Saccharomyces cerevisiae S288C: one gene and its partners. The gene in region 2 interacts genetically with the main gene of each other region. Each region holds a gene or a part of one and is shown on either strand. Other genes may lie near its edges.

Region 1 (3,520 bases), on a different chromosome or scaffold from region 2:
ATTGTTGATCGTTGTGTTAGAGTAACGTCTAGATATGATGAAAGGGTTGGTGAAGTTCATATGCTGAGGTGGTGATGCCGAAGCTGATGGGGGGGAAGGCAAATGAGAAGGAGAATTCAAAAGGGACGACGAGAACGAGTAGTGACCTTGCATTGGGGGTCTTCTCAAGGGGTTCGCAGTTGATGATGTTGATGTCGCATTACTAACGTTGTTATTGTTGTCATCGGACAACATGTCAGCGTAGGAATAAAACCTTAGTAGTCTTGAACCATGGTCGTTGGGAGATCTTGGATGCGCAGGCGACGTTTCGTTATCAAAAGATTGTGACGAAAGACTTCTTGTCCTACCTAGGGCTCTATCCAGGCCGATGGTAGATGGCCTTCTCGAATAAACCATATCAACGTCATCAAGGCCAGTCGTGTCGTCAGTTACAATAGAACAGCCAGCGTCTAATGCAGGAGGGACGAAATTCTCTAAGGTACGACGGTGATCCAGTGGAGTCTGCACAACAAAATCCGGATTGTATGTCTGGTACGATGCTATTGACTCATTAGTCCTAGAAGGTTGCAAATGTAGATTCACAGCAGACGATCTCTGGCTTAAGTTATGGAAGTTCCTATTACTAGAATTATTATGATTGAACAAACTGGTCCTGCTGCTCTGCCTAGAGAGAGAGTTTGCAGCGTTGTTTGACACCGTTTTATAAAGGTATGATGGGTCCTCTACATTTCTTTCAAAAATCATAGAACTCTCGCTCATGGAGGGGGAAGGTGGCATATAATTATTGTCGTTCTCCCTCTGTGCCGCCACGTGGGAGTCGTGGTCTTGGTTGTGGTTGCTGGTATCCATCTTTGCCGTTTACGTTCGCTTTGCTTGAAGGTAGTCTATCACAAAAGCTTTCAGGATCAACCTTTTGCGCCTCAAGAAATTGCATATCACCAAAGGGTGAGTTTAGTCTGATACTGTTTGTTAATCACCTCACGACTGTTGCAACATTAATATGGCGCACACACCGTGTTACGTGATGAAAATAAAGATAATAAAGCGATAGCATAAATAAAATACCATTTAATACGCTTTGTAAAACAAGCACTAACAAGGCGTTGCTTAATAACAAAATAGTCAGCATTCAACAACGTGAGAAGGATAGCTACGACATCTACATCTGCAGTGTTGTTAAATTCGCTGCCAACAACCATTTATATGTCACCATACACGGTCATGCTCTCTTGCACCATTTTTCTCACCTATATAAAGTGAAAAAGTTTTCGATGTCTCTTCTTCCTTCCTAGTAAACTACACTCCATGTGTTTCTGAAAGGGACCTTCAGGAGGTTACGATCAAGTATCTTGTGACATGCAAGAACTTGATGCTTCGATGGGGGAAGTCTTATTTTCAATGTGTTGAAAAGAGTTAATTATGGAACGGTTGGTCATAGCTTTGTACAGCTCAATGTCGTCATGTTTGTAAGGATACAGGCGCGACTTGATCTGCGACTTACTGCTATCAAACGATAAATTATGTTTTTCTTCGTTTCCTTTTTTTTTCTTTTCAGTTTCCTTCCGTTTATTTTTTTGTTGGATTTATCATGATGAGCATTTATTTTACTGCGTTATCGTATTGACGGGGGCTGTTTAAGTACAGTCTGTTTTATAATCTATATTCATTTATATTTTATATTTCTTACCGAGGAAATTGACTCTTAACAGATTTGCTGAAAGGTTCATCTTACAAAAAAATTGGAAAACTTAAACTGAAAAAAAAAAAGTGAAGGAGTACGTGAAGAGCAGTAGCTTTCATAGGAATATGTACAATATCTTGTCTTTGTACTTTGCAAAACCAGCACGCAGCAGGAAGCTCTTGATAATATGGTCGATCACCAGTGGACGCCACTGCAGAAGGAGGTTATCTCAGGTCTGTCCGCGGGATCCGTCACCACATTGGTAGTGCATCCATTAGATTTACTGAAGGTTCGTTTGCAATTATCCGCTACAAGCGCACAAAAGGCCCATTACGGCCCATTTATGGTAATCAAAGAGATTATACGTTCGTCGGCGAATAGTGGACGTAGTGTTACGAACGAACTGTATCGCGGATTAAGCATAAATTTGTTTGGAAATGCCATTGCATGGGGAGTTTATTTCGGTTTATATGGTGTCACGAAAGAATTGATATACAAGTCAGTGGCAAAGCCAGGGGAAACACAGCTTAAAGGTGTTGGGAACGACCACAAAATGAATTCGCTTATTTATTTGTCTGCCGGTGCTTCCAGTGGGTTGATGACAGCTATCCTAACAAACCCTATCTGGGTTATAAAGACCAGGATAATGTCTACAAGTAAAGGCGCCCAAGGAGCGTACACTTCTATGTACAACGGTGTCCAACAACTGTTACGAACTGATGGCTTCCAGGGCCTATGGAAGGGCCTTGTACCCGCACTGTTTGGTGTTTCGCAAGGTGCCTTATATTTTGCAGTTTACGATACCTTAAAGCAAAGAAAATTGCGACGGAAGAGGGAAAATGGGCTTGACATCCATTTAACAAATCTTGAAACCATTGAAATCACATCGTTGGGAAAAATGGTCTCCGTCACTTTGGTTTACCCTTTTCAATTATTGAAATCAAACTTACAAAGTTTCAGGGCCAATGAGCAAAAATTTAGGCTCTTTCCTTTGATAAAATTAATCATTGCTAATGATGGTTTTGTTGGACTTTATAAGGGCCTATCTGCAAACTTAGTACGGGCCATTCCATCCACTTGCATTACCTTTTGTGTATACGAGAACCTTAAGCATAGGCTTTAGTAAATAAAGGCTATATGATAGATTTAATTTCTTGTAAATATCAAACGATAAAAATATAAAAAGTACGAAAGAAAAAGGGGAGGTAATCTAAACTGTAACGGGGAGGAATGGTTTCTTTGGTTTTTATTATTTCTAAAAAATATTTGTGATTATATTACAAAATGTAAAGTATTAAAGAAAAACTATTTTTAATTTCTTAGTAACCCAAAGCGGCTAATTGTTTAGCAACATCAGATTCAGCAGCAGTAGCATTAGCAGAGGCAACTTTCTTGGTGAAAGCTCTCTTCTTGGCATAGTATTCAGCGGATGAAACCTTTCTCTTTGCTTCCAATTTGGCAACAACATCTTCGTATTTCCAACCAACGGAAGTAGACAACTTACCCAAGGTGGTGTACTTTCTACCTGGCTTCAATCTCAAAACTCTCAATGCTTGTGGGACAACAACTCTCTTCTTCTTATCGTATGGAGGTGGGATACCTTCAAAGACCTTTAAACGTTCCAAAGCGGCCTTACCACGAGCAGTCTTGTGAGAAACCATACCACGAAGAGCTTTGTAGAAGATTCTAGATGGGGCTCTGAAATGGAATGGACCACGGGTCTTATTGAAAGCGGTAGCCTTTCTCAAGAAATCATGGTACTTTAATTTGTTTCTGAAAAATTCACCAGAAATGTTTAATTCTTCAGCTCTAACAACAACGATTTTTTGACCGTTTAAT
Region 2 (3,529 bases):
ATGGCCCACATCAAAAACATCATGGCCAATGTCAAAATCACTGTACTTCTCCAAACACTGTACGACAAAACAAAACAAACAAACTCTTGTTAGTAAAAAAGAAAGGGAAACTAGTAATATGGAGACACATCGTAAAAAAAATGTTGCACATACGCTTGGTTGTTCTTTGGAGCCATTATCCAGAACAGCACGGACATGGCACTAACCACTATGAATACACCAACAACAGTATAGCTAAATTGGACGCGCAGAGAGTTAGTAGAAGAAGAAGGAAGAAAAGGGAAGCGGAGAGAAGAGATTATGACACATACAAACTACTCATTACTCTTTGTTCTTTATTATTCGTTGGACCTTTGTTTCTTAAAGTATAGATAAAAGGTCAAAAAATGTAGTAGTCTTTTTTCACAGAGCGAGAATAAAAAGTTACGGCAAAATTTTGTGGGCAGTTGGTATCTTAACGGCCAAGAAAAGAGAGAGAGTGAAGAGCAACGATGTCTGCAAACGGCAAGATCTCTGTTCCCGAGGCGGTGGTCAATTGGCTGTTCAAAGTCATTCAACCCATTTATAACGACGGAAGAACAACTTTCCACGATTCTTTAGCGCTGCTGGACAATTTTCACAGTTTAAGGCCAAGAACAAGGGTATTTACGCACTCTGACGGCACTCCACAACTACTGTTGTCCATATATGGTACCATTAGTACTGGTGAGGATGGTTCATCTCCTCACAGTATTCCTGTGATCATGTGGGTACCCAGTATGTACCCGGTAAAACCTCCCTTTATAAGTATAAACTTGGAAAATTTCGACATGAACACCATCAGTAGTTCCTTGCCCATTCAAGAATACATCGACTCCAATGGGTGGATTGCGCTGCCCATACTCCACTGCTGGGATCCTGCCGCGATGAACCTTATAATGGTCGTACAAGAATTAATGAGTCTCTTACACGAGCCGCCACAAGATCAGGCGCCCAGTCTACCCCCTAAGCCCAATACGCAGCTCCAGCAGGAGCAGAATACTCCCCCACTGCCCCCAAAGCCCAAGTCTCCACACCTAAAACCGCCATTGCCTCCACCTCCACCACCTCAACCGGCATCTAACGCACTCGACCTTATGGACATGGACAACACGGATATCTCCCCAACCAACCATCATGAAATGCTACAAAATCTACAAACCGTAGTCAATGAGTTATACAGAGAGGATGTGGACTATGTAGCGGACAAGATACTGACGAGACAGACCGTCATGCAAGAATCAATTGCCAGATTCCATGAAATAATCGCCATCGACAAGAACCATTTACGAGCCGTTGAGCAGGCTATTGAGCAGACCATGCACTCGCTAAACGCACAGATAGACGTCCTGACCGCAAATAGGGCCAAAGTCCAACAGTTTAGCTCAACTTCGCATGTGGATGACGAGGACGTGAACTCCATAGCAGTGGCCAAAACAGATGGACTCAATCAACTATACAACCTCGTTGCCCAGGACTACGCTCTCACGGACACCATTGAGTGCTTATCTAGGATGCTGCACCGTGGCACCATTCCCCTCGATACTTTTGTCAAGCAAGGTCGTGAATTAGCACGCCAGCAATTCCTTGTGCGATGGCACATCCAACGAATCACCTCACCGTTATCGTGACTCACTTTCTTTCGCATCGCCGAAGTGCCATAAAAAATATTTTTTTAACCTTTACCTAACAAGAACGGGGAATGGTATATATGGAAGTACATAGTTCGTATATACAGAATCTTTAGAACATCTGAGCTCACTAACCCAGTCTTTCTAATGCTGAGATCGTTATTGCAAAGCGGCCACCGCAGGGTGGTTGCTTCTTCATGTGCTACCATGGTGCGTTGCAGTTCCTCGTCGACCTCCGCGTTGGCGTACAAGCAGATGCACAGACACGCAACAAGACCTCCCTTGCCCACACTAGACACTCCTTCCTGGAATGCCAACAGTGCCGTTTCATCCATCATTTACGAAACACCAGCGCCTTCTCGTCAACCAAGAAAACAGCATGTCTTGAACTGTTTGGTGCAAAACGAACCCGGTGTCTTGTCCAGAGTCTCGGGTACGTTAGCTGCCAGAGGCTTTAACATCGATTCGTTGGTCGTGTGCAACACCGAGGTCAAAGACCTAAGTAGAATGACCATTGTTTTGCAAGGGCAAGATGGCGTAGTCGAACAAGCACGCAGACAAATCGAAGACTTGGTCCCCGTCTACGCCGTCCTAGACTATACCAATTCTGAGATCATCAAAAGAGAGCTAGTGATGGCCAGAATCTCTCTATTGGGTACTGAATACTTCGAAGACCTACTATTGCACCACCACACTTCCACCAATGCTGGCGCCGCTGACTCCCAAGAATTGGTCGCCGAAATCAGAGAAAAGCAATTCCACCCTGCCAACTTGCCCGCCAGTGAGGTATTAAGGTTGAAGCACGAGCATTTGAACGATATCACCAACTTGACCAACAACTTTGGAGGTCGTGTCGTCGACATCAGCGAAACAAGCTGTATTGTGGAGTTGTCTGCAAAACCCACACGTATCTCTGCCTTCTTGAAGTTGGTCGAGCCATTCGGTGTCCTAGAGTGTGCAAGAAGCGGTATGATGGCATTGCCAAGAACTCCTTTGAAGACAAGCACCGAGGAAGCTGCCGACGAAGACGAAAAGATCAGCGAAATCGTCGACATTTCCCAACTACCACCTGGTTAGGTTAGTCTCTCGGCCTTGCGATCGCCCTCGGGACTCTCCTCTATACATCTATATAACGTATCTATAACCATGAGCCTATTTACTCATAAGTTGCTATGATTGTACGTTTGTACGAGGTGACGCGTTACTAAACTATTTTTTTCTTTTGGTTTTCTGCTTTCCTCTTCGATTTTGCCAGATACGAAAAAGGTTAAAGACACAATACCTTGGTGGCTTCTCTAAGTGGGGGGAGTTTTTCACAGCAAAACACACGGTCACCTTTCTTATTATGGACGGATATTGGGATGTTGTAGTGTCGTCCTTGCAAGACATATACAATGCCAACGAGGTCATTCCCTTTGATGATGAGCTGCAAACAAAAAAACTAAATTTCCTTAATATGTCAAAGGATCAGCTGCAATTGCATCTCAACACTTTCCAAGAACACATGGAAAACGTCAACAGAGTGCACCGAATCCTTGACAATGTACGTTCCAATTTGTCGTTGATGTTGAATCAGTCACGAGAGGAAAAGAGTGAGGAAAATACTGAAGATGCAGAAGAAGGAGAAGGGACACGCATGGCATTGTCGCAGGGCAAGAAAGCTGTGGGGAAAGTTGGCAGATCGTACTGGACCAGCGAATACAACCCAAATGCACCTATTTTGGTGGGCTCAGAGGTTGCCTATAAGCCCAGAAGGGGCAGTGCCGACGGCGAATGGATACAGTGTGAAGTACTCAAAGTCGTAGCAGATGGTACACGATTTGAAGTGAGAGATCCTGAACCTGATGAATTGGGCAACTCAGGCAAGGTGTATAAATGTA
Region 3 (3,320 bases), on a different chromosome or scaffold from region 2:
TTAGATTATGAGGATGCTGGCTATAGAATTTCTGATGTTGTAAAACTGCAACTCTTGGTTAATGGAAATGCGATTGATGCCTTGTCAAGAGTACTTCATAAATCGGAAGTAGAGAGAGTGGGTAGAGAATGGGTGAAGAAGTTTAAAGAGTATGTTAAATCACAATTATATGAGGTCGTTATACAGGCCCGAGCTAATAACAAGATAATAGCTAGAGAAACAATTAAGGCAAGAAGAAAAGATGTTCTCCAAAAGCTGCATGCTTCTGATGTCTCACGAAGGAAAAAACTTTTGGCGAAACAGAAAGAGGGTAAAAAGCATATGAAAACTGTAGGTAATATTCAAATCAACCAAGAGGCATATCAGGCTTTTTTGCGCCGTTAGCATTGCATATTATTGTTATTACCATTTTAAAATTATACCAAGCTGTATATAGTTAAGTACTTTTCATTTGTAAATAAAAGAGAAAAATAGATTAATAAATATAATAATGGCATAATCATTATGCTTTAAGTATTTCCTCAAGTGTAACTACCCCTTTAAAATCTGGGTTTTCGATATTTTTCAGGACGGATTTGCTTACCTGCTGAGTGGATACTGTTGGCCTAATCAAGTCGTTCAAAAGCTGCAGCTTATTTCTCAATAGAAATTTGTTACCGCAGTAAAGTAGTTCAAGTGCAGTATGAATAAAAGACCGTGGTCCAATTGCATTTCTGTGCTCATCGAACATAAAACCGGGTCTCACAATAATAGGCCTGAAATATCTCTGCATTTTTTCTAGTTCAATCTCCGCCTCTCTTTTCGAATTAATATAGCCACTAGGAATCAATGGGAAACCTTTATCGGCGGAAATATACGTAAAAGATCTTTGATTTGCTTTTTCTTGCTCCTTTTTGCTTTTCTTTAGGATTTTTTGTTTAAATGTATCTGCCAAAATAATAGCACTTTGCTTATTCATCATTTCATAAGTAAAATAAGGACTGCTTTTTTTTAAAGGATTTGGACCTGCACCAAAAGATAGAAGGCGTGATTTTGAATCATATGTAGGGGATTTGGATAGAGTTTGCTTATAATTTTCATTTTCTAGGAGGATTCCCAAAGAATGAACTACGTTAGTAGCATTATTCAATAATTCATGGTAAGAATCAGGCTTAAAAATGTCAGCAGCGGTCCATTGGACCTCCTGCATCCATTGCTTATCATTTAATTCATTGCTATGAGGAGCTTTACCGGACCTTGACACAGAAACGACTTGGTAGCCCGAAGTCACTGCTTCTTGACAAATTCTTTTACCTAAAAATCCATTGCCTCCAAAAACTATAAGCTTTGGTATCATTTTCTACTTCAGTTCAAGCTTTAGCTGTATTTTTGTATACGATACATATTTCCCTTATTTTTTTATTTTTTCAATGTTTTCCTGTTTTTCTATTATGCAAAAGCGACAAGATGGCATTACGAGGAGACACTCAACTAAAAAAAAAAAATGAGTCAAATTGCCAGACTTTGTAGAGAAGTAAAAAGTTAATGCTAAGATGCTCTTTATGTATTAGTCTTTTAACATATTCAAGGATACGTAAATATTCTGATTATATACTAATAATTAATAATAAAAAAATTGTTTTGATCTACAAGATTTTTATTTATTTTCATGAGTAATGTACAAAAGACACATCATCACGCCTTATTTTTATCCAAATGCACATCAATTTGCTTGTAATTATCCCACGCAATACGATATATAAAACTTGGATTGAACCCACCGACGTTTGTAATGTAGATATCAATATTTTCAGGCGGAACATAATCGGTAATTTGATTAACTGTATCTAATCTTTTTCTTGGATCCATTCTAGGTAATATACGTTGGGACCCACCAAATTCGACAAACTTCTCTACGTCGAACGGATATAGAGGAGAAAGCTTATACAAACCTGCAACAGCAAATACAGGGGTTCTAAATTCTCGGGCGCATTCACAAACGGATGATACACCTGAATTTGACGAGATAGTCCCCCCATTGACAAAAACGGCTTTAGTGCCGATAATAACCTTACCCACACGGGACATTAAAGCAAAAACAGCTGAGTCTGGGACTACTAGGGTTTCTATGTTGTGCTGTGCTAATTTTTTGGCAAACTCATGTGCATTCTTGGTGTTATTAGGGAACCCCTCTGTAACTAAAACCGTAAATGTTCTATTACTACGTTCGCGAGCAGTAATCAGAAATTTTAATACGGTTTTTGAATCAGGTGTGGGAGTTAATAAAATCTCATGATCGTGAATCAAATCAATAGCAATTTGCTGAATACCTTCATCAATGTTTTTTATCTCATCTATAAGATCCTTGATACCCTGAATGGCTACTTGACGGTAATCAGTCTTGGTTTTCATACTAGAGCTCCCTGAACTATTTTTTCTATTCTGATGAGGTTGCTCCGGTTTCTGTAATAAATTAAACATAGAGGAAATCAAAGGTTCAGCAACGGATGTGGATGTGACAGTTGTGCTCATAGTGTCTTCTTCTACTTCATCCCTCAAAACAGCCAGTATTCTTCTAATTACGTTACCGCAACTGAAAGCAGTAGGATGAGCTTTTTCTAGACTATTACCTAAATCTCTGATTTGTTCAATAAGGTCATTAACATGGTTCCAACGAGCTGCAGAGATAAATCGCATTAACAGTTGTAAAGTTTCCAAGGCGATGGCGTATGAACCTTGCACTTGTCTTCTTTTTAACTTAGCAACGAAAGTGTCAATGGTAACATTCACATCAGATGTTGCCGCATTCGGATGTACTGAAGTGAATGCTTGAGAGGACATCTTATGTTGGGCAAAAGTTCGAAAGTTGGCGTGTTGTGTTTACTGGTTCCGCACGAGTAATGAATGGTCTGTTTCATTTATGAAGGTTTTTTCTATGTCCATTTTTTTTTTTCAGCATCACGAAGAAAAAAAGCTTGCGGTTGGGAAGCAGAGGTATCATATACTCAAGCTGTATAGTTCAAAGCCTTTCATAAAGGCTATTCCTTAGTATATATGATAATGGGCTTGCTATGTGTTTTTGAATCTATCTAAAATTTCTTGCTATGTAGTCGTGTGTAGCATAGAGACATATCAAGAAAAGGCTAAAATATCTTCGGTTATGCACCTTATTCACCGTTATATTCGGCCAGATTTCTTGCAGTTTCTATTAAAAGGGCTCTAAGTTTCATATCCTCTGGGGCTAAAGCTAAACCTCTCTCGCATGTTGCCCTAGCCTCTTCCCACTGTCTCAATTTTAGCAAACAGTCCGCCTTCCTGACAAATACGTCTGGTTGGATAAG
Region 4 (4,402 bases), on a different chromosome or scaffold from region 2:
CTGCCTGCCGCGCCCGTAGGGTCTAAGGGCACTTTTGGTGGAACGCTGGTATCACAATCGCTGCTGGCGTCATTGCATACTGTGCCATTGAACTTCTTCCCCACATCGCTACATTCGTATTTCATCAAGGGTGGTGATCCGCGGACCAAGATCACGTACCATGTGCAGAATCTGAGAAACGGTAGAAATTTCATCCATAAGCAGGTTAGTGCTTATCAGCACGACAAGTTGATATTTACGTCGATGATCTTATTTGCCGTGCAACGGTCCAAGGAGCACGACTCCTTGCAGCACTGGGAGACGATTCCAGGCCTGCAAGGTAAGCAGCCAGACCCTCATCGTTATGAAGAGGCCACTTCGCTTTTCCAGAAAGAAGTTCTGGACCCACAGAAATTGAGCAGGTATGCCTCATTGTCCGACAGGTTCCAAGACGCAACCTCGATGAGCAAGTATGTGGATGCGTTTCAATACGGAGTCATGGAGTACCAATTCCCCAAGGACATGTTCTACTCGGCAAGACACACCGACGAGCTGGATTATTTCGTCAAAGTGAGACCTCCCATCACTACCGTGGAGCACGCGGGCGACGAGTCTTCTTTACACAAGCATCATCCGTACAGGATCCCGAAGAGCATTACTCCTGAGAACGACGCTCGCTACAACTACGTGGCCTTTGCGTATCTGTCCGATTCCTACCTCCTACTCACGATCCCGTACTTCCACAACCTGCCTTTGTACTGCCACAGTTTCAGTGTCTCGCTCGACCACACGATTTACTTTCACCAGTTGCCTCATGTGAACAATTGGATCTATCTTAAGATTTCGAATCCCAGGTCCCACTGGGACAAGCACCTCGTACAGGGCAAGTATTTCGACACACAGTCGGGACGCATCATGGCAAGCGTCTCTCAGGAGGGCTACGTTGTCTACGGGTCAGAACGAGACATTCGAGCCAAGTTCTGAGGACAATTCCCTCCCACGTATAAACACATACATATATATTCTTATATTATATAATAATATCCTATTTATTATTACATCACCTTTCACGAGCGGGTATCATACCTTTTTCCCTTCGATCTAAGTAGAAAAAGGACCTGAATGATCATTGTGGTACTTATTCCCACGCATAACCGACTACGGCACCACAACGACGCACCAATGCCATCTGACGTAGCATCGAGGACCGGGCTGCCAACCCCGTGGACCGTCAGGTATAGTAAGTCCAAGAAAAGAGAGTATTTTTTCAATCCAGAGACGAAGCACTCGCAATGGGAGGAGCCTGAGGGCACCAACAAGGACCAGCTACACAAGCACTTAAGAGACCATCCAGTGCGTGTAAGATGCCTGCACATTCTCATCAAGCACAAGGATTCAAGAAGACCCGCATCGCATAGATCCGAGAACATTACGATATCCAAGCAAGACGCTACGGACGAACTGAAAACCTTAATCACGAGGTTGGATGACGACTCTAAGACGAACTCCTTCGAGGCCCTGGCTAAAGAGAGATCAGATTGCTCTTCATACAAGCGAGGCGGCGACCTCGGCTGGTTCGGGAGAGGCGAGATGCAGCCTAGCTTTGAAGACGCTGCCTTCCAGCTCAAGGTCGGCGAGGTAAGCGATATCGTTGAATCAGGAAGCGGTGTTCATGTGATCAAGCGGGTAGGTTAGGTTGGCATTTGCTTCTCCACCTCACCTTTTTATGTTCTTATTCCCTCTTGTATCCATTCCGTCCTCGCTGAACCCATGAAAAGAAAAAAAATTAACTAGTCACATAGTTAAATGGCGCTGTTCTTCGCTGCGAGCGGAACCGGGCCTGAAAAAAAATTTTCTCTTTTCCTCTCCAGATGACTCAGTAATATAGTAGTATATTATATAATGTAACAAAAGAAGAGACTGAAGTTTTATTATGCATTGTAGCGCCTGTAATCTTTAGTAACGGATTCTTGTATTTTTTTGTAAACAGCCAAGAAAAAAGTAGAGATGGGCTTGTTAACGAAAGTTGCTACATCTAGACAATTCTCTACAACGAGATGCGTTGCAAAGAAGCTCAACAAGTACTCGTATATCATCACTGAACCTAAGGGCCAAGGTGCGTCCCAGGCCATGCTTTATGCCACCGGTTTCAAGAAGGAAGATTTCAAGAAGCCTCAAGTCGGGGTTGGTTCCTGTTGGTGGTCCGGTAACCCATGTAACATGCATCTATTGGACTTGAATAACAGATGTTCTCAATCCATTGAAAAAGCGGGTTTGAAAGCTATGCAGTTCAACACCATCGGTGTTTCAGACGGTATCTCTATGGGTACTAAAGGTATGAGATACTCGTTACAAAGTAGAGAAATCATTGCAGACTCCTTTGAAACCATCATGATGGCACAACACTACGATGCTAACATCGCCATCCCATCATGTGACAAAAACATGCCCGGTGTCATGATGGCCATGGGTAGACATAACAGACCTTCCATCATGGTATATGGTGGTACTATCTTGCCCGGTCATCCAACATGTGGTTCTTCGAAGATCTCTAAAAACATCGATATCGTCTCTGCGTTCCAATCCTACGGTGAATATATTTCCAAGCAATTCACTGAAGAAGAAAGAGAAGATGTTGTGGAACATGCATGCCCAGGTCCTGGTTCTTGTGGTGGTATGTATACTGCCAACACAATGGCTTCTGCCGCTGAAGTGCTAGGTTTGACCATTCCAAACTCCTCTTCCTTCCCAGCCGTTTCCAAGGAGAAGTTAGCTGAGTGTGACAACATTGGTGAATACATCAAGAAGACAATGGAATTGGGTATTTTACCTCGTGATATCCTCACAAAAGAGGCTTTTGAAAACGCCATTACTTATGTCGTTGCAACCGGTGGGTCCACTAATGCTGTTTTGCATTTGGTGGCTGTTGCTCACTCTGCGGGTGTCAAGTTGTCACCAGATGATTTCCAAAGAATCAGTGATACTACACCATTGATCGGTGACTTCAAACCTTCTGGTAAATACGTCATGGCCGATTTGATTAACGTTGGTGGTACCCAATCTGTGATTAAGTATCTATATGAAAACAACATGTTGCACGGTAACACAATGACTGTTACCGGTGACACTTTGGCAGAACGTGCAAAGAAAGCACCAAGCCTACCTGAAGGACAAGAGATTATTAAGCCACTCTCCCACCCAATCAAGGCCAACGGTCACTTGCAAATTCTGTACGGTTCATTGGCACCAGGTGGAGCTGTGGGTAAAATTACCGGTAAGGAAGGTACTTACTTCAAGGGTAGAGCACGTGTGTTCGAAGAGGAAGGTGCCTTTATTGAAGCCTTGGAAAGAGGTGAAATCAAGAAGGGTGAAAAAACCGTTGTTGTTATCAGATATGAAGGTCCAAGAGGTGCACCAGGTATGCCTGAAATGCTAAAGCCTTCCTCTGCTCTGATGGGTTACGGTTTGGGTAAAGATGTTGCATTGTTGACTGATGGTAGATTCTCTGGTGGTTCTCACGGGTTCTTAATCGGCCACATTGTTCCCGAAGCCGCTGAAGGTGGTCCTATCGGGTTGGTCAGAGACGGCGATGAGATTATCATTGATGCTGATAATAACAAGATTGACCTATTAGTCTCTGATAAGGAAATGGCTCAACGTAAACAAAGTTGGGTTGCACCTCCACCTCGTTACACAAGAGGTACTCTATCCAAGTATGCTAAGTTGGTTTCCAACGCTTCCAACGGTTGTGTTTTAGATGCTTGATGCATTATAGGCCCCAATCGATGAATATATATATAGAGATTCTCCTTTTCCATCATCTTTTTTGTTCGCAATCTTTTCATATATATATATATATAAATATTTATTATAGTCCATTGAATGGATAAACATTTATTTAAAAAAAAACAACGATCAGTATTTTTTTATTTGAAAAGTCGCCTTAATTATAATCTACGAAATTAACTCTGCTTTGCTGCCACTAAAGCCTTCTGTTTTAGTTTTCTACTAGCATACTTGCCAACAAATGGTAACAGTGCCGTATTCAAGGCAATGAGTGCGACTAAAATACCATAATTCCGACCCATCTTGCGTCTTGTCACGTCAAAAAAAATAACCCTGTAGATATCGATGACGTTGTGAACGGGCATCATGTACCCATATCTATAAACATTATTGTTTAGCGCTAATGGGAAGAAAGAAGGTGCAATATTGAGAATGACAAATGATAGGATCCAGAACCCGAGATACTGGGGTCCTAACGTAATAACAAGCATAACCGCATTTTCGTTAGCTCCTCCCGCAGCAAGCATGAAGAGCCACGTAGACATCCAATATACGACGAAGCCACCTCTACCAAAGGACTTGGTAAAATCGACTTGAAAGATGGCGGTTGTTGTGCAGAAGAACAAAGACGCAAAGA

Evidence for each region.
Region 1: mutations in ILV6 (region 2) and FLX1 together harm fitness more than expected from each alone (negative genetic interaction), as found in Saccharomyces cerevisiae (3 studies listed by BioGRID).
Region 3: mutations in ILV6 (region 2) and COQ11 together harm fitness more than expected from each alone (negative genetic interaction), as found in Saccharomyces cerevisiae (2 studies listed by BioGRID).
Region 4: of ILV6 (region 2) and ILV3, changing one suppresses a phenotype caused by changing the other (phenotypic suppression), as found in Saccharomyces cerevisiae (one study listed by BioGRID).

The regions. Positions count from the first base shown.
Region 1 is NC_001141.2:95,527-99,046, forward strand, and holds FLX1 (flavin adenine dinucleotide transporter FLX1), read left to right. Parts: upstream 1-1,868; coding exon 1,869-2,804; downstream 2,805-3,520. Other genes in the region: VHS2 (Vhs2p), read right to left, coding at 1-849; YIL134C-A (uncharacterized protein), read right to left, coding at 996-1,199; 60S ribosomal protein uL13 RPL16A, read right to left, coding at 3,001-3,520. UniProt on the Saccharomyces cerevisiae protein: Transport of FAD from the cytosol to the mitochondrial matrix.
Region 2 is NC_001135.5:103,816-107,344, reverse strand, and holds ILV6 (acetolactate synthase regulatory subunit), read left to right. Parts: upstream 1-1,796; coding exon 1,797-2,726; downstream 2,727-3,529. Other genes in the region: VMA9 (H(+)-transporting V0 sector ATPase subunit e), read right to left, coding at 1-57, 154-234, 312-322; ubiquitin-binding ESCRT-I subunit protein STP22, read left to right, coding at 492-1,649; SGF29 (Sgf29p), read left to right, coding at 2,995-3,529. UniProt on the Saccharomyces cerevisiae protein: Regulatory subunit of mitochondrial acetolactate synthase, which catalyzes the first of a series of common steps in the biosynthesis of the branched-chain amino acids.
Region 3 is NC_001144.5:716,643-719,962, forward strand, and holds COQ11 (ubiquinone biosynthesis protein COQ11), read right to left. Parts: upstream 1,337-3,320; coding exon 503-1,336; downstream 1-502. Other genes in the region: GTPase GUF1, read left to right, coding at 1-384; GCD7 (translation initiation factor eIF2B subunit beta), read right to left, coding at 1,675-2,820; Sec63 complex subunit SEC72, read right to left, coding at 3,147-3,320. UniProt on the Saccharomyces cerevisiae protein: Component of MIOREX complexes, large expressome-like assemblies of ribosomes with factors involved in all the steps of post-transcriptional gene expression. Component of a multi-subunit COQ enzyme complex required for coenzyme Q biosynthesis.
Region 4 is NC_001142.9:463,793-468,194, reverse strand, and holds ILV3 (dihydroxy-acid dehydratase ILV3), read left to right. Parts: upstream 1-1,986; coding exon 1,987-3,744; downstream 3,745-4,402. Other genes in the region: TES1 (palmitoyl-CoA hydrolase), read left to right, coding at 1-963; peptidylprolyl isomerase ESS1, read left to right, coding at 1,162-1,674; YJR015W (uncharacterized protein), read right to left, coding at 3,942-4,402. UniProt on the Saccharomyces cerevisiae protein: Dihydroxyacid dehydratase that catalyzes the third step in the common pathway leading to biosynthesis of branched-chain amino acids.